3 linked regions of the Saccharomyces cerevisiae S288C genome follow. The protein of the gene in region 2 binds, or shares a complex with, the protein of the main gene of each other region. Each region holds a gene or a part of one and is shown on either strand. Other genes may lie near its edges. A codon is read from its position in the direction of its gene.

Region 1 (7,910 bases), on a different chromosome or scaffold from region 2:
ATCACAAAAATTGATACCCATTAATACACATAGGCTCACGCCATTACTATTATTATATATATCATCAAGTATTGCATTTGTAATTTTATGAGTCCTTCTTAGTAATACATGAAGGCTTTTTTTTAATATTTTCGGAATCAACGAGAGTACACTATTCTATCCGATGATAACCGAGATAAATGAAGATAGTAACTAACCAATGAAAAAAGAGCGAGAATAAATTAAAGCAATAATATCAAGTTAGTCGTGGGAATATATGATCCACGCATAATAAGGTTACATTAAGCACTGCTTTATCCTCTATGTCTGCTAAGAAAAGGCCTTCGGGAAACGCAGCATTTGAACTTCCAAAACGGAGAAGAACCTACCAAGCTTGCATCAGCTGCAGATCAAGGAAGGTGAAATGTGATCTTGGTCCGGTTGATAACCCACACGACCCACCGTGTGCACGTTGCAAAAGGGAGCTAAAAAAATGTATTTTTAGCTCTAATAAGGGAACTTCGAACGACTTGCCTCCTAATTCGATTAATGCAATAAGTCTGCCATCTCTAGGTAAGAGTAAGCAAGAGATACAAAATGACTCAACGAGCCCAATTTTATCGGATGTACCTTTGTCAAGAAAAGGGATTAGCAGTGAAAAATCATTTAAATCAGAAGGGATGAAGTGGAAGCTTGAACTTTCCTCCATGCAGAACGCCCTAGAGTTTCTGGCCCAAGCTGCTGGAACTGTAGCAAAAGAAGGCGCAAAAGAAATCATAAAAGAGAAGTCCACAACACCGAAACCACTGAAAAGTTCTTTGGATGCGACAAATAAATCTGCTACGGACGAGGGGTTGAAACGACTTTCAAAAAGTGACAGTACTAACACACTTTACGAAAATACAGCAGATATGCTTAACCACACGCTGAATACGAATAGGAAAACATCACAATTAATGGAAGAAATCGGGAAAGTGAGACCTCCACCTACCCGGAAAATTGACGACTTCGATTACATCGGTCCAGATAGCTTGCTTACTAAAGAGGAGGCGATTGAACTCATAGAGGCATTTTTTCTCACGATGCACCCATTCTTTCCCAATATCCCACTTCAATTGCATGATCCGAAAGAATTAGCAGAATATCCAATTTTGTTTTGTGCAATTTTGACTGTTTCTGCTCGCTATCATCCTTTCGATACTTTAGGATTAGACAATGGAGAAGATGGGATGAGACACATTGAAGTTCACGATAAATTATGGGTGTATTGCCAGAAGCTTATATCTCAAACAATTTGGGCAGAGGCTAGTACTAGGTCAATTGGCACCGTGCTTGCTTTCATAATTTTCACGGAATGGAACCCAAGGAGTATCCACTATAAATGGTCTGACTATGCAAATGATCCTGAGTTAAATAATGTCAACGCTAGAGGAAGTAAGAATATTAGTACGAGGAAGGACGAAGAAGGATTGACCGGTGTCGGCGCAATCCGTAGAAGCGACCGAATGTCATGGATGCTGACAGGGTCTGCAGTAAGGCTGGCGCAAGATATGGGATTCATTGAAAACAGCTCAAAAGTATTCATTGTCACTCATATATCTGAGACTACCAGTGCTATGAATATGAATCAAAGATCCTTATTAGCAGAATCATTCAGCGTTTTAAACTTGAATTTAGGAAAAATTGAAAACGATGGAAATGAAAGCAATGAGGATTACCTTGGGAATGAAAAATTTTATCTGAATGAGATTTTGCCTGATGAAGAAAGTAAACTAAGGTGGAAGAGAGTTTTTGAAAACTCAGAAAATGACCACGACAACGAGAAAAATTTTTTGACTGATTGGGAGAGGGAGTTTTTAAACGATGAGTATGTTCTATATTATTCTAATAAAAAAGATGATACTAATCTAGCACAGAATCACATACCACCATTTCCACTAAGATTCTCATTCGCCCAAAGAGCAAAAATAGAGATCATTCGAATCCTATCCATAGCATATGAGACGATTTACTGTGAGAAGAATAAGAGGAAATTGGCAACGACAGATCAGAGACACAACCTCTCTGTCCTAAGTGTTTTTTCTCCCTTGATAGAGGGCTGGCTCAGTAACTACAGAGAGCTTCTTGTACCCCTTTCTGATGTCCCTTTCTCACTAGCAGATAGGAAGAACAAAAAACAAATATTTGATAACATCGATAGAATAAATGGTGAAAGTATTATCACAGATTTCAATTATTGTCAACTTTATATCTTTTCCCTCGCACTGCAAGTGGATGGGAAAACAAGCAGATTGAATATGAATGAAATTGTGACAAGCGCGAGGTATGTGGAATTAGCATACAGATCTGCAAAAGAAATATTGAGTTCTGCAAAGCGAGTTTCAAGGCAAGGAATGCTAAAATACATGCCCGTAAGATGGGTAATACGAATAATTAGATCCATTGCGTTCATAGTAAAATGCTACCTAACACTTACTGGTAGTGAACTGGCAACAAATCCAGATGCCAGAAACATTTTAAAATTAAGTGCAATATCGGTTGACGAAACATTCGATATCATCCGTGACACTGCGGTTACTTTGAAAGAAGCTACACCAGATGAATTACATCTATGTCAAAGATACGCAGCCATATTAATGTACTTATGTACAGAGATGAAACTTCGAAAAAAATCTTACTTAGAACGACCACCCTTATTAAGAGATGGCACCACTCCTCTAGAGAGCAATCGCGAATCCTCACTGGAGGGACAAGACTTAACTAAGAAGCCAATATTCTCTAAACGTATTGGATATAATAAAACCGAGACTACTTTTGAACCCTCGGAAAGGCCTTTGACGGAGGAAATTAATAGCAATTCTCAGAATTCAAATGATACATCTTCTAAAGGTATCGTTGATCCTTTTGTTGAACAAAACAACGATATCACAACAGCGTTACTGAACAATGAACTCTTCCAAGGTCCATCTCTATCTGACGAGGTTACAGATTGGTTCGGTGCTAGTGAAGATATCGGGCTTGAATTTGTAGAACCATGGACAGAACTTATTGAGCAACGATATATGCAATGTGGAGATGGTGATAATAATAATTTCGAAAATTTATACAACTTGTTCGTGAATAGTAATAACATCAATAATGATATTAATAACTCAAGGCCAATAACGCGTAAATAAGTAGATATCAAAGAATTACGTCATCAACCAAGACAACCGCACTATTCGTAAAAATGATTTTAAATACAAAGACAGAATAACAGGGGAAGATGGAGGTATATAATAATGCGAATGCTTCATAATACTATGACTGGTTTTCCATTGGGCATATGAGATGATTTTACGGCTCAATCACTACTTATATATGATTTCTATAACAAAGCAGGCCATTACACATTAGGAACGGCTATCTATTACATAAGAATATGCAGCAAATTCGTTGGATATGTTAAAGTATATTCCACGCATGCTGAGAAGTGGATTGCCAGAAACGTGACGTGAAATACCTACTAGAACAAAAAAAAAAGGAATGCAAACGTTCTAGGAGCCATAGGAATCAAAAAGAAAAAAATTGAATTAATAGAGTTCGTGAGAATCATTGCGAATTGAGATTCTAATTACTGATCTGAGACTTTTGTGTTTTATAATAACAAGGTGCATAAACTACTTGAGTGATAAATTTCCCCTCATATCTAGTAGTGCAAGCTACGCTGATTATTTCATCTCTAATACTGCTTGTCAGTAAATGGTTCAAATTCACGTGGGGTATAATATGATTTATCGCACCTTCATCCCTCTCATGTGATTCTGAATTCTGATTGCTTTGGTTTAGTATTCTGTTCAGATAGGATGAATTCAGGTATATGGGCAAGTCAGGAACTGGGTATCTACTTAGAAAAACCGCCTCTGCTGTTTCTGCATCAATATTACCGCCTTGCTGTAAAGTAGCAAATAAATCATCTTGATTACAGTCAACAACTCTATGTGTAAAGCTGGGAGGTTCTTGGGGATGCACGTCATCAGAATCTCCTTTTACAGAAATCGTAGAGCCGTCACCTATATTAAATAAATTTGGTATTTCGTTCGAATACACCAACCTCTCAGGCTTGACCTCGGCCATCAAATCCAAACTGCTAGCCTTCAGACGTACAAATGAGTCACGCATATTTATTGAACTGGACCTACTTAAGCCTCTATAATCTGAAAACGGTGTACTTGGCCTTTCAACACCCTTAGCAGAATAGTAGGAAGATTTTCGAGAGGAAGAAGGAAATCTTTTAAGTTCCGGTCTCTTGGGCAATTCTTCATCCAGTGTTGGCTCTACTTGCGAGTCGATGTCTGCTTCGTTTCTAAATGGCTCGATCGTATGATAACCGGGCAATACTTCAAACCAGTTGACAAAATTGCCTTCTGAATCCGTAGCTGTAGGAAGAAAATTTGAGTGAGTCAATATACCATTGATGGAGAATTGCAGTCTATAAATTCCTGCAGGCAAAAAAAGATCTGGAACAAACCATTCCTTATGCACATCATCATAAACCATGCGGATCCTAGGATTTAACTGTTTTTCTGAGTCTAAACTTGCATTCTCATCCAAGGTAAGCTCTCTTTGCTCTTTAAGAGCAGAAGCAATATCCGTGCTTACTATAAAGACTTCCGTGGTTGCAGCCACGGTACCATCGTCTTTCCATTTTAGAACAACTAAAGTATTTTCGGTGGAGTTTGTTGATGATATTGAAGACATACTCGACATGGAATTAGAGTGATGCGATATTTCTCTATGCTGCGGTGCAGAGTATTGACTTTCATTGTCGTTAATAATTGGATGTAGTGGATGCAAAGGCTGCAAATTCAAACCGTTTGTTAAGATACTCTTTCTTGATTGTAAAGAATGCAAAGAAGCAAATGAGGATCTTCTCGAATTTGAAACCGACCTTATTTTTTTATTCTGGGCTTTCTTTGTCTTATTATGGTGCTTATTTAAATCTCTTTCCATCAAGGTCTTATCACCGTACAGTTTCATCATCATTTTTGCAGTAGCAGATATAGGTGCGGTAAAATCGTCGTTGGAGCCTCCCGCGTTTCCCTTGTTACGGGTGTTATTTTCAATATTTCCATTGTTATTAGCGTGGCTTATCCTTTCTGCAGTATACATTGAATTAGAGGAATTCACCCTTGAAAGACGTTGCATATCCTTTTTTAAAGCATTTTGTAAAAGAGACTGGTTCAAAACCATATCTTCACTTTGAAGTACGCCTGCTTCTGCATCTACACTATCACTGTTTCCCTCTTTATCCATTTGAGAGTTCTCAGAAAATGTTTCGTCGTTATTGAGATATTGATATTGGTATGCATGGATAGATGGTTTCTTTGAATAGGGTTGTCTTACAGGAATATCAATGGAATCCGTCTTGGTCAAGGCGGGAAGTGATGCTGAATGCACCGATGAAGACCTCGTTGGAGAAGGGGAAGCAGTAGCTGAACTTTCTAAAAGATTTTTTTTCAAAGCTATGATGCTTGAGCGATGCCTTTCATGGTGTGGTTTGTCGTTTCTTTCATTTTCTGTTGTTTCGTCAACCATGGTGTAATTCAAAGTAGACAGATCATCCAGATCACTTTTAGTTCGTTTGACAGTGGCCATTGATGGACCTGGGCTCAAAAACGACGGAGATTTCACCTGCTCTTCGGGTGCACCCACATCGTGATCATCACTTAAAGTCAAATTGGCCAACGTAGTGTCATTTACGTCTGCGGCAGAGGACAAAGAATAATCCTTTTTGAATAGATGGGACGGGCCCTTATCGATAGTAGTATCACTGCTCATGCGCCCATCACAATCTGTCGATGGATCGTGAGATGCAAGTAATTGCATTCTAGGGGGAATGGCACCATTATGTTCGCTAGTATGACTGGCGCGTCTCTTATGAGTACTCTTCCTATTGTTAAACAGTTGAGAGGTTATGCTTCCCTGACGATCTTTATTGAATGCATCATGAAAATGATGTCCATGCTCCTTTTTGGTTGAATGCGATGGATCCTGAGTAGAAGGACTGTTTCCCATGGCGGCTGCAACAACTATATAATATGACAGTTCAACTTTCCAAGATGTCAGTCCACACGCAAAAAAAGAAGTGCAAATGAAAGAAACACTAGGTAAGACACCTTGTTTATGTAGGTATCCACTTGTATCGGATATATCTACCATTGTTAATTGTCAATAGTATTCCATCAGAGACAATGGTAAAAAGACAAAAAAGGTATAATCATCGTACAAAGCGATCAATATTACATGCTCTCATCCAACATTATGTATACTCAAGATATGTTTATATGCTACAGGAGCTGTCTAACCAGAGCACTCTGTAAGTCGCGAGCTTTGACTACTATTTTGCAGTCATCTGTACATTTTGCCTTGATTATTAATTCGCTGCATAAATCATCTATGTCCAACGATGAATATTTTGGTAGGGAGGAGATCTCTTCGAGAATGTGGTAGCAAGACGCTTTTCCATTCGATATGGCGCTGCTAATGTGTTCAATTGCTTCAGATTGGGTTCGAATTGTTTTAGTATGAGAAGCAGCCACCGGAAGCACCGAAGCTAGAGATTTCTGATTCAACAGGTGGCTTGTTATTAAGTCGCATTTGATCTCCTTATTTGAACATGGTTTGGTCCCGATACACTTGCGGTTGCAAATATTATTACACTGGCTCCCTACAGCAAGGGGAAGCACGCTGGGGAATAAAGTATCATCTTCTGTCTCGTATGGAAGATACTTTTGGTCAATTTCACATTGACATGCTGACGTATCTATTTTTTCAGCGGTCAGGCGTTCAGAGTGCTGAGGAAAGTAGTTATGAATGTCGTAATCTAAAGCTTCTAGACCAGTCTGTCTATCATTGGAGACAAGATCGAGACTGAAATCTGGCATTTCACTACCATTAATACTTTCGTCACCGATGGTAACGGCACCTGTTCGATTTCCGGGGGGAGAATCCCACGAATTGGTTAAACTGGGAGCGTTCCATGAGCCTATGTTCCACATAACTTTCTCATTCTCTTGAGTGTGCGGCTGTACTTCTATACTTGTGTTCACAGTCATGTTTTCATCTGAATTAGGCGATGGCAATTCCTTTGCAGCCTTGCTAACTGCTGTACTTGTTCCTTTTTCGTTTTCCCTTTTCTGTTGTTCTTGCAGATCATCGAGGAAGGCTAATATTCTTTCATCATCAGAATTCTTAGCTCTATATTTTGTAATTTCCGACAGTAAACTTTTTAAAGAACATAGTAAAAAGTCCGTGGTAGTCTTATTCTGCGCATCTTTCTGTTCTAGTAACTCTACCCTCTCTTGCAAACTCTTCATTTTGGCTTCTTTCCTATCTCGGAACGCTCGTTGAGCTGCCCTATTCTGGGCAGTCCTCCTACTCTTAGCTTCAGAGTCAATCCTTTTTCTGCCTGGTCTGCCCACCTTCCTCTTAGGTGTTCCATCTTTATTTAGCAACATTTGCTTCTTCATGTCACCTGCTAAATATATTTGCTGACCTTTCCGAAGGATATTGCCCATTTATCTTAACTGGTCGTTCCATTGCTTATATGTCGTCCTTAAAAGTAACACCCCATTCGTATGAAAGTATAATAGTAATTGATTATCGATTAACTATTGAAGAAACACTATTTATGCTGTTTTGAAAACTAAAAACGCCAGTGGACCGATATAGAAATAAACAAAATGGCCCTTTTCGTGTGTCACGTAGCTCCCAAAGTTCTTTCCGACAATCACATGCCAGGTATTGCCGTATTTGACATCCAATTGCTTCTTTACCGTCCCAGCAATGTCTCTTTCCAACTGGTACTTGTCCAGAGCATCTTTACTGATGGTTAAAATATCCTCTTTCAGCTTGTCGGTCTAAGTTTTCTCCTTGTTAGTAAATATATA
Region 2 (7,537 bases):
CTGGCCATTGCATGGTTCGCGCTGGAAAGAGAGGAAAAGCGTGGTGATAAAGAGCGAACCAAGCATATTGTTTTCCAAGAATGAGCAACGAAGATTACGGATACGACTACGATTATTTATTTAAGATAGTTCTTATCGGCGACTCCGGTGTGGGTAAATCTAATCTGTTGTCGAGATTTACAACCGATGAATTCAACATTGAATCCAAATCCACGATTGGCGTGGAATTCGCTACAAGAACCATTGAAGTTGAAAACAAGAAGATAAAAGCACAGATTTGGGACACGGCAGGTCAAGAACGTTACAGGGCCATCACGTCTGCGTACTACCGTGGTGCTGTAGGTGCACTTATAGTGTATGATATAAGCAAATCAAGTTCATACGAAAATTGCAACCACTGGCTTACCGAACTGAGAGAGAACGCAGATGACAACGTGGCTGTTGGGTTGATAGGGAACAAATCAGATCTGGCTCATTTAAGAGCAGTACCAACCGATGAAGCGAAAAATTTCGCAATGGAAAACCAAATGTTATTTACTGAGACAAGTGCTTTAAATAGTGATAATGTAGATAAAGCATTTAGAGAACTGATCGTAGCCATCTTCCAAATGGTAAGCAAACATCAAGTAGACTTAAGCGGGTCGGGTACCAACAACATGGGCTCTAATGGCGCTCCAAAGGGTCCTACCATCAGCTTAACACCGGCACCAAAGGAAGACAAGAAGAAAAAATCCAGCAACTGTTGTTAAAAATTTTGTGCCCTACTAAGGTCGCATGGTTTCATGCATATTCTGTCTACATATAACCCCCGTTAATAATGCTTTTATAAATATAATCAATTACATATACCTTCCCAAGTTATTTATTACTAACCTTCGTTGCACGCAAGAAAAAATGTATTAACGTACATACATTTTCTAAATAGACCTTTCCTGACGCCTGCATTTTGCAATAGCCGAAGATAAGAATATGATTTTTTTTTTACGATTTAAATATTCTGTTGTTGTGCAGTCTAAAAACACACGTGTATGTTTTTTTCCGCACGCATGAGCAGAATTAGACGGTTTTATAAACGTTCGCTCTGTGTATTTCACGTACCTTCCCGGATACAAATTTCGTCATGGTTTATATTGGAAGTTTTTCCGAAATTGCGGGTTTTGAAGGTTTATCCGAGACGACGTGAGGGGTAGGCAGGAGAAGGAAGGCTGTTTACGTACGCAAGGATGGGGTACGACAATGATTCAATTTCTGTTGCTAAGTTTTTTGTTATTTTTTCATATTGGCCTACTCATCTTTGATATCATTATTTTTTCGAATCTACATTAGAGCGTGTTTCGGAAAACAAACTCGCTCGATACAGTAATTGCGTTTTATTTACGGAAATTACCGTTCTCGGTTCCAAGAAGGTTAGAAAAATCGGTTGTCGCTCTTTCTTTCCCCCACTTGTAAAAACAAAGAAAGTATAAAATAGTTTATGGCCCTTAAGGCAGGCCTTGTTGAATTTGAGCTATACCTACCCCAATGATAGTTCTGTGGTAGTTTGTTTGAATATGTAATATGAGAAGCACGATGGCAAACGATAATCTTCACTGAGCTGATTTACGAGCGACCATCATCTCCACGGTGCGAATTAATAAGCTGTGGCGATGTGCTGTAGTTGCCCTATCGCCCCTGCGGAGCTTGCGTCAACTAGCTCTCCCCTTTCCCCATTGAAGTTAGCGTATTACCATCAGTTAATGATTGATAGGCTCATACGAAGAAGAAAAAAAGCCGGGATAAGAAACCCCGCCTCCACTTTTTTGGCTCATCCGAAAATTTATCCGCGGAGACATCCACGGAGCACCCGCAAAACTGAAGTAATAACTCTAAATTATATGCCGCTGAGAAAAATCTCGTACGAGGATACGGTAAATAATCCGTGCGAGAAAGTTTTTCCGAAAATCATTCCCGGTCAAAAGCGTTTCTGGTATATAAGCGATTGGGAAACCCGTCTATAATACGTAGTAACTTACGATCTGCCTGTCAAATTGTGTGCTTGTCCTTGTACTATTACCATTGTGTAGCTTATCTTAACTCTCAATTAAGTTTTAACTCACGCTAAGACTATTGACCTCGAGAACAAACAAAATAAAAATAAAAAAAGAGAATGCCTAAAAAGCAAACGAATTTCCCAGTAGATAACGAAAACAGACCTTTTAGATGTGATACCTGTCACCGTGGTTTCCATCGGTTAGAACATAAAAAGAGACACTTGAGAACACACACTGGGGAAAAACCTCATCATTGCGCATTTCCTGGTTGTGGGAAAAGTTTCAGTAGAAGCGATGAACTGAAAAGGCACATGAGAACGCATACAGGGCAATCTCAAAGGAGATTGAAGAAAGCTAGCGTACAGAAACAGGAGTTTTTGACAGTAAGCGGAATTCCTACCATTGCATCGGGCGTGATGATACACCAACCAATACCGCAAGTCCTACCAGCAAATATGGCCATAAATGTTCAGGCAGTAAATGGAGGTAACATTATACACGCTCCCAATGCGGTGCACCCAATGGTGATACCAATCATGGCCCAACCAGCCCCCATTCATGCCTCCGCTGCATCTTTCCAGCCTGCAACTTCTCCTATGCCAATTTCTACATACACTCCAGTTCCATCGCAATCATTCACCTCTTTCCAGAGCTCTATTGGCTCCATACAGTCAAATAGTGATGTTTCATCTATCTTCTCGAACATGAATGTTCGCGTAAACACTCCACGCTCTGTGCCAAACTCTCCGAATGATGGATATTTACACCAGCAACATATCCCACAGCAGTATCAGCATCAAACTGCCAGCCCTTCTGTTGCCAAGCAGCAGAAAACTTTTGCACATTCTCTTGCATCTGCATTATCTACCTTACAAAAAAGAACGCCTGTAAGTGCCCCTTCCACCACTATAGAATCACCATCCTCACCAAGTGATTCCAGTCATACCTCTGCATCCAGCAGCGCTATCTCTTTGCCTTTCAGCAATGCTCCTTCTCAGCTCGCCGTGGCCAAAGAACTTGAGTCCGTCTATTTAGATTCCAATAGATACACCACCAAGACTAGGAGGGAAAGAGCAAAATTCGAAATTCCTGAAGAACAAGAAGAAGATACCAATAACAGCAGCAGTGGTAGTAATGAGGAGGAGCACGAGTCGCTAGATCATGAATCTAGCAAAAGCCGAAAGAAATTGTCAGGCGTAAAATTGCCGCCTGTACGTAACCTACTGAAACAAATTGATGTTTTCAACGGTCCCAAAAGAGTTTAACCTTTACGGCCCCTTTTTATCTCACCATTTTTCCTCTAACGAACTGTCATGAAACAACTTAGCATATAACGCGTACTTACATAGATAGATTAAATAGATAACCATGCATATCACTAACTAGCATCGTCATGAATAGCACGTTTACCTATACGAATTGCGGCCGGCATGGTCTTTTATATTGCTCCCTTGGACCGAGTAAAGATTTACCTTGCGTTTTCGGATCGTCAAAATCTTTTAGGGAAAGGATAAATACACCACAAGATTCCTGGGAAATGAAAAGTATCTGAAATAATTGTGCTTTTGGAAGGGTACTGAGAGCAGTGAAGTTTCTATGGGTACTACGACAAGTCATCCAGCCCAAAAAAAGCAAACAACAAAAAAGTGTCGTGCACCTATCATGAGTGACGTTAGAGAAAAACCCAGCAATGCTCAAGGCTGCGAACCGCAAGAAATGGATGCTGTGAGCAAGAAAGTTACTGAACTGAGCTTAAATAAATGTTCAGATTCCCAAGACGCGGGGCAGCCTTCAAGGGAGGGATCTATTACCAAAAAAAAATCGACGTTATTGCTGCGTGATGAGGACGAGCCCACTATGCCAAAGCTATCTGTTATGGAAACTGCTGTGGACACTGACTCTGGGTCTTCGTCTACTAGCGATGATGAAGAGGGAGATATTATTGCCCAGACGACAGAGCCCAAGCAAGATGCCAGTCCTGATGATGATCGCTCAGGCCATTCTTCGCCCAGAGAGGAGGGACAACAGCAAATACGTGCCAAAGAAGCTTCGGGAGGTCCAAGTGAAATCAAGAGCTCATTAATGGTTCCCGTGGAGATAAGGTGGCAGCAAGGTGGTTCAAAAGTTTACGTGACAGGCTCATTCACCAAATGGAGGAAAATGATCGGTTTGATACCTGATTCTGACAATAATGGCTCATTTCATGTGAAGCTAAGGCTGCTTCCAGGCACACATAGATTCAGATTTATAGTGGATAATGAGCTTAGAGTTAGTGATTTCCTGCCCACAGCAACTGATCAGATGGGAAACTTCGTCAATTACATAGAAGTCAGGCAACCAGAAAAAAACCCAACTAACGAAAAGATAAGGTCCAAGGAAGCAGATTCCATGCGACCTCCCACCAGCGATCGATCCTCAATTGCTCTACAAATTGGTAAGGATCCAGACGATTTTGGTGACGGATATACAAGGTTTCATGAAGATCTGTCACCCAGACCTCCGTTGGAATATACAACAGACATTCCCGCCGTGTTTACTGACCCGTCTGTCATGGAACGATACTATTATACCTTGGATCGTCAGCAAAGCAATACTGATACGTCATGGCTGACACCACCCCAATTACCTCCTCAGTTGGAGAATGTTATCTTGAATAAATACTATGCCACGCAAGACCAGTTCAACGAGAACAACTCAGGCGCTCTGCCCATTCCGAACCATGTGGTGCTTAACCACTTGGTTACTAGTAGCATTAAGCACAATACACTTTGTGTAGCCTCCATCGTTCGATATAAACAGAAATATGTCACCCAGATTCTTTATACGCCCATAGAGTCCTCGTAATCCGGGATTCCTACTTTTTAAAGGCGTATTGTATATATTTTTGGCAGCTATGGCACACTAATTTCTATTTCCAATTTAGTGTAAGCAGAGATATAGAAGCATATAACATAATGATTTACTAATGGGCTCAGTACTCTCAATGCTTATTGTTATCACAAACCACGATACTAATACCCGGAAGTCGCGTGATCTTTTTTTTTTTCGGAAAATGAGAATCGCCACTTTTCTAACGAAAGAATATTGAAATCTTAATATTGGTGAGAAGAGGAATAAAAGTAGCTAAGAGAGTCACGGGACTAAAAGGTAAAAAGTTCAGCTATTCCAACTTTACTCCTTTCTGATATTGCACCTTTCGTGAACTGGCTTCGTGTATTTAAGTGAATATGGAAGAGCTGAATATTGATTTTGACGTATTTAAGAAAAGGATTGAATTGTTGTATTCCAAGTACAATGAGTTTGAAGGTTCTCCAAATTCGCTGCTGTTTGTTTTAGGTTCGTCCAACGCTGAAAACCCGTACCAGAAGACGACCATATTGCATAATTGGTTGCTAAGTTACGAATTTCCCGCTACTTTGATTGCATTAGTTCCCGGAAAGGTTATTATAATTACTAGTTCTGCCAAGGCCAAGCATTTACAAAAGGCAATTGATCTATTTAAAGACCCTGAAAGCAAAATTACGCTGGAATTGTGGCAAAGAAACAATAAAGAACCAGAACTCAATAAAAAGTTATTTGATGACGTTATTGCCTTAATCAATAGCGCTGGTAAAACAGTGGGTATCCCTGAAAAGGACTCTTACCAAGGTAAATTTATGACTGAGTGGAACCCAGTATGGGAAGCGGCTGTGAAGGAGAACGAATTCAATGTCATTGATATTTCGCTGGGTCTTTCTAAAGTTTGGGAAGTGAAGGATGTTAACGAACAAGCCTTCCTGTCCGTTTCAAGTAAGGGGTCGGACAAATTTATGGACCTTTTATCCAATGAAATGGTTCGGGCAGTTGACGAGGAGTTGAAAATCACCAATGCCAAGTTATCAGACAAAATTGAAAATAAAATTGATGATGTGAAATTTTTGAAGCAATTGAGTCCCGATTTAAGCGCATTATGCCCACCAAACTACAAATTCAACTTTGATTTATTGGATTGGACCTATTCTCCAATCATTCAGTCCGGGAAAAAGTTTGATCTTAGGGTTTCTGCCCGTTCTACCAATGATCAGTTGTACGGCAACGGTTGTATTTTAGCTTCATGTGGTATTCGTTACAATAATTATTGTTCTAATATTACTAGGACCTTTTTGATCGATCCATCTGAAGAAATGGCCAACAACTACGATTTTCTATTAACTTTGCAAAAAGAAATTGTAACTAACATTCTGAAGCCCGGCCGTACACCAAAAGAAGTTTATGAATCAGTAATAGAATACATCGAAAAAACCAAACCTGAACTAGTGCCCAATTTCACCAAAAACATTGGTTCATTGATTGGTCTCGAATTTAGAGATTCTAACTTTATATTAAATGTTAAGAATGATTACCGTAAAATCCAACGCGGTGACTGCTTTAATATTTCGTTTGGTTTCAATAATCTGAAAGATTCTCAAAGTGCTAACAACTACGCTTTACAATTAGCTGATACGGTTCAAATTCCTCTCGATGAAACAGAGCCTCCACGCTTCTTAACAAATTACACCAAAGCCAAATCCCAGATATCATTTTATTTCAATAATGAAGAAGAAGACAATAATAAAAAGAAATCTTCACCTGCCACCAAAGTCCCTAGTAAACCAGACAGAAATTCCAAAATTTTAAGAACAAAGTTACGTGGCGAAGCCCGTGGTGGTGCCGAAGACGCTCAAAAGGAGCAAATTCGTAAAGAAAACCAAAAGAAGCTACACGAAAAATTGGAAAAGAATGGATTACTCAGATTTAGTGCTGCTGATGCCAATGGCCCAGATAGTGAACCTCGTCAATACTTCAAAAAATATGAATCTTATGTTCGGGATTCACAACTACCAACCAATATTCGTGATCTAAGAATTCATGTCGACTGGAAAAGCCAAACAATTATTCTACCCATTTACGGTAGGCCAGTCCCATTTCATATAAATTCATATAAGAATGGTTCTAAAAACGAAGAAGGCGAATATACGTATTTACGTTTGAACTTTAATTCACCGGGATCTTCTGGTGGTATTTCTAAAAAAGTGGAGGAATTGCCGTATGAGGAATCAGCAGACAATCAATTTGTACGTTCGATTACACTAAGATCCAAAGATGGTGACCGCATGAGTGAAACCTTTAAACAAATTGCAGATTTGAAAAAAGAAGCCACAAAGAGAGAGCAAGAACGTAAGGCGCTTGCTGATGTTGTTCAACAGGACAAATTGATTGAAAATAAAACTGGAAGAACGAAAAGACTGGATCAAATTTTTGTGAGGCCAAATCCAGATACAAAACGTGTACCTAGTACTGTCTTTATCCATGAAAATGGTATCAGATTTCAATCCCCACTAAGGACTGATAGCAGAATAGACATATTATTCTCAAACATTAAGAATCTAATTTTTCAATCTTGTAAAGGTGAATTAATTGTCGTCATTCATATTCATTTGAAGAATCCAATTTTAATGGGTAAAAAGAAAATACAAGACGTCCAATTC
Region 3 (6,111 bases), 190 kb from region 2:
CTTTGAATTGTACAATTGAGAGAAGAAATTTTTGCAGCATGGCTTGATAGGCTATTTTGTAACTGTCACTTCCGTACTTGGTTCGGCAGGTATTTTTGAGCCTTACTAAATTTGACTTGACGAAATATGCGAGAGGCGTATGTATGGAAAAAAGAGCATCATAATACTTACTTTCTATGTACTCTTTAGGGTCTGAATAGTAGTCATTAATTTTTGATTCGCCTTTCATATCTGGGGGATTCATATCCAGTTTAAGGTCTTTGTCCTTCTCAAGCTTACACGAGCCCTTGGGTTCTTCTGACCATAAATGAAGAAGCTCTTTAAATTTCAATTCGTCCCATGTTTTTAACGTTTCACGCTTAGCTCTTTCTCTTTCAACTGTCGTTACAACTTCCGTACGCCTTTCTGGTAAGCTGTAACCATTGAAATAATTGTACGGCCACTTAACCCAAAATCCTGGCCCATATTCCTCTAGTAGAAAATACTCTTTTCTTGATTTCATGCAGATGTGTTTCAATTGACGTCGATTCTTCTGTTGCAGTAATTGGAGAATGTTACTGGGCACGTCCTCGGATTTAATAATAAGTGGATGATCTAAGCTCAAGTCAAGGCCTTTTGTTGCTTCTTTTACCGATGCTATGACTTCCCATGTTTCCATTATGAGAGGTCAGATCGTTCCTACCTATACGATCTTAACCCTTCAGCAGTTATGAATGAGGCTTCTGCCTGTTTTAACAGTGCCCATCACTTTTTTTTATTTTTCTTAAATGGACCATGTTGTACACCAAGATAGCCGATATTTCAAGGTCGCGTATAATATAACATTTTGCCTAGGATTTTTGTCACCTAGAAATATATATACAGGGAAATCTAAGACATCGAATTATGTGATGAGTAAATAATTTAAAATTTGTAAACTTTGTAAATTCTTTATTAGTAAAATATTATATACCTAATAGTGAGGGACATTTAAGCAGATGAAGAGCATGTTTATTACGCTAAAGATACCTTCACCTAAGACCAACCCCGAACTGAATACAATCATTTTTGTTTTCGCATTTAAGTCACCCCTATGATTCTTCAACCAAAAATGCGAAGCCCACCCGCCGATGAATCTTGCAATTGTAAAACTGGGAGAATTAAATATACCAACACCGACTGCTACACCAGACGGAATATATAATATCCACCCGTATCCGTAATCTCTATAAGTGTTTCTGATTAATGATAAAACGGCAAATATGACTCCGAGAATCATGGAGCACTCCAAGGCCTTATCAGGGAGCCCTTTACCAGTTACTAGTCTTGCACAATCTATCCACACTACTGCTGTCGGTATCCTGAATTGCTCACTCGGAATTGAATAAACTTTATTGTAGCACAAATACATGAAGCTAGACAAAATAATTGACCAACAGGCCCCTATCAATTGGGCACAGAACTGAGCTCTTGGGGAGGCGCCGAGGAGGTGCCCCGTTTTCAAATCCTGCATTAAATCGCCCGCCTGTTGGGCAGAGGCTTCTGCAATACCTCCCGATACCACGTTCATTAACACTGATCCAGGTCTATCCCTTGGTATGATAAAGGCAAAAATCAATTGAGAGATCTTACCAATGCCGCTCACAGGATTCAGATCGGTCTCTCCAAGTGCTCGAATACCGAGAATAGATAGAAACAACGCAAGTATCAAAGCAGTGATAATAGCATATAGGGGAATTACTTGTATCCCAAACAAATATATTATGGAAACAATGCATATTATCGAGGAGACTAGACATCCACTGATAACGGTGGTATAGCGAACCAAATGCTTCGAATCTACTTCTATTTCGTTATCTCTACTCACTAATCTTACGGTGTCCTGCCTTCCATCAACATATGTATTTCTTCTGCTGCTATTAATGGCGCGTTCCTCCTCCAGTAACATAGATTGAAATGTATCATCGATTATGTTGTTCAGTAAAGCAGCTTTGTCATCTATAAGAATAAATTTCACAATGGACTTCACTGTCACAACAATAAAAGCGACTACACTGTCAGCAACCATTATTGAAAGCGACGACCAAAGAATCCATCCTTGCACTCCCTCCTCCCAGTCGTGGACATCAGCATCTGGTGGTACCCATCTTTTGTATCTCGCCAATGGTGCTAACACACCCCAGCCTAAGAAGCACCCGATAAGCATATACGATACTGTTGGAAGACCCATTATTATCCCTTGGCCTATATACGCAGGCGACGGCTGAAAATTCCAGAGATAATTGTTCGAGAGGTATTTTCCGAAGACTGGAATAGACCGTATTACCGGTACAAAATATGACACCATGGTGTAAAGCGAAGAAACAACAAAAGTTTTCAATAAAATAATAATATTCGCTCTGTAGTTCTCAGAGCCAGTAGAAAGGATAGAACTTCCATCTTGGCTAGTTGCCGTATAATCACCAAGTTCGCTATGAGAAGAGTTCATTAAATAATCCGCCTCCTCTGGATCTCTGTTGGGTTGTAGCACTTCAGGGCATTCATTCAATCTCCTCTGCCTCATTTCCAATAACTCTGACTTAGAAACCTCTTGTAAAATCTCAGTTCCATTTAGCACTGAAATTAAAGTGGCCGTGGCGCTACCACTGGGGAAGGGAAGTTTCTCTCTAACAATTACTTGCTTTCTTAGAGGAACTGCAAAAAAAATACCGAAGAATGCTAGGGCTGTGGACCATATTAACAATTCTCTAAAAGTGAAGGACTGTCCTTGTTCCCTTAATCCACCACTTTCGTCGTTAGTAAGGAACTTCTCGATGGCAGGTATGACGCCGACAAACCCAAAGGCTAATGGGCCTGTTCCGACAGCTACTGCCATACTTTGTACGTATACATTTTCAACGTCACTGAAAGGCCTGTCGTTCGGAAATATTAATGGCCAGATATTTTTAAAGAAAGCACAAGCTAACAATGCCGATGGCAGGGACATCATGGAAACCCAACCGGTTTGCAGGCCAAATTGAAAATTTGATGTTAGCACCAGAGACCCTATAGCGATACCTGCTATGGTTGCTCGGAGTGTTATCTGCTTCAAAGCAGGTTTATTATCCCATGGTACACGCTGTACTTCTTGACTTGGAGTAGATTGAGGCATTTCAAAGTATTTACAGTACCGATTTAGAATCTTTAACGGTTAGTCCTCTATACTGTGACTCTTTTTCTTCCTATCTTGGTGCGAAAATAAAAAAAATGATGCCTTGAGATAGATCTCACGAAAAATACCTTCTACGGCGTTAAATTTACAGCTTTTCTTTAGCTGCCTGTACCTTTTTGATGAACTAATTTATTTTGGTATCAACAGACAATACTACAAAAGGCTTTGCATTATCTTCCTTCACCCTTATATGCAGCATTCCCCCCTCCCAGAGATCGCATCAGTATCATTACTAATCGATTTTTCACTTCGCTTTATAACCGAATTTCCGCCGAATTATACCCAAAATAAGCAAGATGAAAATATATTGGTCAGATGAAGTATGCATGACTGATTAATCATGACTTTATTAGTTGCATTTATTTATAGTATGTACACAAAAATCTCATCGGCTCGTTTCAGTTGCTACCTAGAAGGATATATTTGAGAATATCGCTTAACGTCAAGACACCAACCAACCGTCCGACGTCATCAACTACAAAGAATCTATGCACCCTTGCTTTTCTGATGTTATCCATAATAGTAGATAATTTATCATTCTTAGTGCATGTATAAACACCCTCAAAATCATCACTTCTCCTCATAAGGGCTTCTCCGACGCTCAATGACAGGTCGTTGTAGATGCCTCCTTTTATCAAGCCTAGGACATCGTATGCTTCATATACGTTGATTAAGTAGCCGTTTTCGTCAATAATAGGGACGGAAGAAACCCGACCTTGGGTAAGCATCTGAATGACGTCTATGACCGGAGTGGTCATTTGACAGCTTTTCATGTTATCTTGCGTAATAATGTTCAAGTCCCCAATTGGAATCTTTAGAAAATGTGTTTCCCTGCAATTTAAAGCAACGAACTTCAGAATTCTATATTGCGTAAGAACACTAACGACAATTTCTCTATGTGTCTCTTCATCTTGATCGATCAGTGGTATTCTACCACTTCTTGATTCTAACATCTTAAGACACGCCTCAAATAAGGGTCTAGAAGGATGAATTGAAGCTGTATCTAGTTGATCAACACCGAGAGCACGCTCTATATCTTTTAATCCATCTAACTGTAATTTGTCTACTAATTCGAACTTATCTGGATTGGAGAAGTAATACTGGATGACATTAATAAAATCTGTAGTAGTTAGAAGTCCAGCGAACCTGGAAGTCTTGGAGTCCCATAATGGCGCAGAGACAATGCTATTTTGCAAAAGAACATTCAGTGATTTCTTCACTAACAACGAGGTGTCCAAGACAATTAAACGGTAAGAAACAGGCAACACGTCATAAGATGTTTTCGAGTTCAAAAACTTCCTTATCGATTCTACAGCTAACTGCTGTTCAATAGAAACCTTTTCTTGTGAATCCTGTGTCGGTTTCATTATGTATTTTCCTTTTCGCTTCCTCCTAATGCTAACACAGCAGAAGATGTTTAGCTAACGTTAAAAGATTGATACAATTTTCCAGTTTGCAGCAAAACCACTAGCCCAAGAAGTTCTCAATGTAGATATTATGTTAATAACGATTATTGCATTGCTATGGTTTCTTCCAAGGCCTAAATTTTGTTATTTGCTAAATTTCTCTCCCTCCCAGTTCTCGCGCGTGTGGTGTGTGGGTTCTTTAACATGTGATGAGTTATATCTTGATGTATTCTCAAGGTTCATTACTTTTATTTCTTAAGCTTCTTGAATACATTTATGTTTATACATTATGTATGCGTGTATGGAAATTTCATTATATGCCTTGACATGAACTTTTATTTTTTTTATTTTATCACCTGATCAAATATTGGCTGGTACTAGAGGGCCTCCTTGTATGAATCTCACTCGAATTTTTGGAACGATTCTCCTTATCATTTGTTCGACAACCTTCCTTGCCAATAAGTCCTAGCATACCATCCATCAATCCGTCTTCTCTCGATCTTCCTGTACATCTTGGATCAAATATCTTATAAAATTTTAAGTTTTCATCTCCTCCCACTGTGGCCAATGTGGTTCCGTCAGGGGACAATTGAGAACAGCATATTCTTGCTTCATGAGCATGAACTACTTCTGCAACTTTGAATTTTGTTTCATAATTATAAACAGAGATTGCATTCTCTGGATTACCTCCTGTGGCAACAATCTCTTTATTCATCATACCACCATTGGTTGACGTATGACTTTGGCCCCAATGTAAAGAGCTCACCTGGGATCCGGTATTGATTGAGCCAACTCGTGCACCTGTGATACTGTTCCAAAAATGGATGTGTTTATCTGTTTGTCCGCCTCCAGAGGCTAGAATATTTGGCGAATATGGACACCAGCTTAGTGCTTTTACAGCAGCAGTATGCGTCTTCTTGGAAAATTGAGGCAAGGACGTTCTGGTATCCCAAATCATTACAGTGTTATCATTACCACCAGATGCAAGTTGCAATCCGTCACTTTTATAGCTCAAACCGCAGACTTCGCCTGTGTGCTCTGCCCATGTAGATACAATATGCTGTTTGATCCTGACATCATTGATTTGAATTTCTCCACTACGACTGCCTGTAGCTATCAAAGTATCTAACCAAGACAATGAACCGATACGGACACCTAAGCCTGATCTCATAGTTCTAATTAATGACATGGTCTCAACGTCCCAAATTTCGGTGTTCCCATCCTCTTTACCGATAGAGATATGACAATCATCATCAGACCACGTAACGCTGCATATTGTGGTGTTTTCGAAATCCGTTAACAGGGAAACATCCCCAGTGGTGGCATTCCACAGATATAATGCAGTGTCTAGTGCTATAGCTAAGACATTTTTTTTGGACCAACTTAACAAGTTTAAATAAAAGTCGTCTTGGAAACCAGGTGCATCAAGAATTCTTTCCGGATTGGTATTGATTTTCCTTAATTTAATTAAATCAGGAATTTTTTGTTCCTGCTGATAACTATAATGTGTTCTTT

Evidence for each region.
Region 1: SIP2 (region 2) and SIP1 share a complex: the UniProt entries of both Saccharomyces cerevisiae proteins name them as parts of the SNF1 kinase complex.
Region 3: the proteins of SIP2 (region 2) and SNF4 are in contact, whole or in part, in a crystal structure (PDB 2QLV), measured with the Saccharomyces cerevisiae proteins. Residues at the interface, in NP_011307.1 of Saccharomyces cerevisiae: Thr212 (codon at 4,260), Arg216 (codon at 4,272), Asp227 (codon at 4,305), Thr231 (codon at 4,317), Ala232 (codon at 4,320), Thr233 (codon at 4,323), Asp234 (codon at 4,326), Gln235 (codon at 4,329), Met236 (codon at 4,332), Gly237 (codon at 4,335), Asn238 (codon at 4,338), Phe239 (codon at 4,341), Tyr242 (codon at 4,350), Asn389 (codon at 4,791), Thr390 (codon at 4,794), Tyr399 (codon at 4,821), Lys400 (codon at 4,824), Gln401 (codon at 4,827), Lys402 (codon at 4,830), Tyr403 (codon at 4,833), Val404 (codon at 4,836), Thr405 (codon at 4,839), Gln406 (codon at 4,842), Ile407 (codon at 4,845), Leu408 (codon at 4,848), Tyr409 (codon at 4,851), Thr410 (codon at 4,854), Pro411 (codon at 4,857); in NP_011400.1 of Saccharomyces cerevisiae: Phe25 (codon at 4,485), Lys29 (codon at 4,473), Tyr32 (codon at 4,464), Asp33 (codon at 4,461), Val34 (codon at 4,458), Leu35 (codon at 4,455), Pro36 (codon at 4,452), Val37 (codon at 4,449), Ser38 (codon at 4,446), Tyr39 (codon at 4,443), Arg40 (codon at 4,440), Leu41 (codon at 4,437), Ile42 (codon at 4,434), Val43 (codon at 4,431), Leu44 (codon at 4,428), Asp45 (codon at 4,425), Ser47 (codon at 4,419), Leu48 (codon at 4,416), Lys52 (codon at 4,404), Val56 (codon at 4,392), Gln59 (codon at 4,383), Asn60 (codon at 4,380), Trp68 (codon at 4,356), His127 (codon at 4,179), Pro128 (codon at 4,176), Ser129 (codon at 4,173), Asp151 (codon at 4,107), Ile160 (codon at 4,080), Val161 (codon at 4,077), Val162 (codon at 4,074).

Annotation. Positions count from the first base shown.
Region 1 is NC_001136.10:1,311,738-1,319,647, forward strand, and holds SIP1 (Sip1p), read right to left. Parts: upstream 6,037-7,910; coding exon 3,589-6,036; downstream 1-3,588. Other genes in the region: ARO80 (Aro80p), read left to right, coding at 303-3,155; CAD1 (Cad1p), read right to left, coding at 6,309-7,538; DYN2 (dynein light chain), read right to left, coding at 7,650-7,880. UniProt on the Saccharomyces cerevisiae protein: Beta subunit of the SNF1 kinase complex, which is required for transcriptional, metabolic, and developmental adaptations in response to glucose limitation.
Region 2 is NC_001139.9:93,712-101,248, forward strand, and holds SIP2 (Sip2p), read left to right. Parts: upstream 1-3,626; coding exon 3,627-4,874; downstream 4,875-7,537. Other genes in the region: Rab family GTPase YPT32, read left to right, coding at 81-749; MIG2 (Mig2p), read left to right, coding at 2,147-3,295; chromatin-remodeling protein SPT16, read left to right, coding at 5,258-7,537. UniProt on the Saccharomyces cerevisiae protein: Beta subunit of the SNF1 kinase complex, which is required for transcriptional, metabolic, and developmental adaptations in response to glucose limitation.
Region 3 is NC_001139.9:290,479-296,589, reverse strand, and holds SNF4 (AMP-activated serine/threonine-protein kinase regulatory subunit SNF4), read right to left. Parts: upstream 4,558-6,111; coding exon 3,589-4,557; downstream 1-3,588. Other genes in the region: SLD3 (Sld3p), read right to left, coding at 1-658; YGL114W (uncharacterized protein), read right to left, coding at 953-3,130; ubiquitin-protein transferase activating protein CDC20, read right to left, coding at 4,949-6,111. UniProt on the Saccharomyces cerevisiae protein: Adenine nucleotides-binding subunit gamma of AMP-activated protein kinase (AMPK), an energy sensor protein kinase that plays a key role in regulating cellular energy metabolism.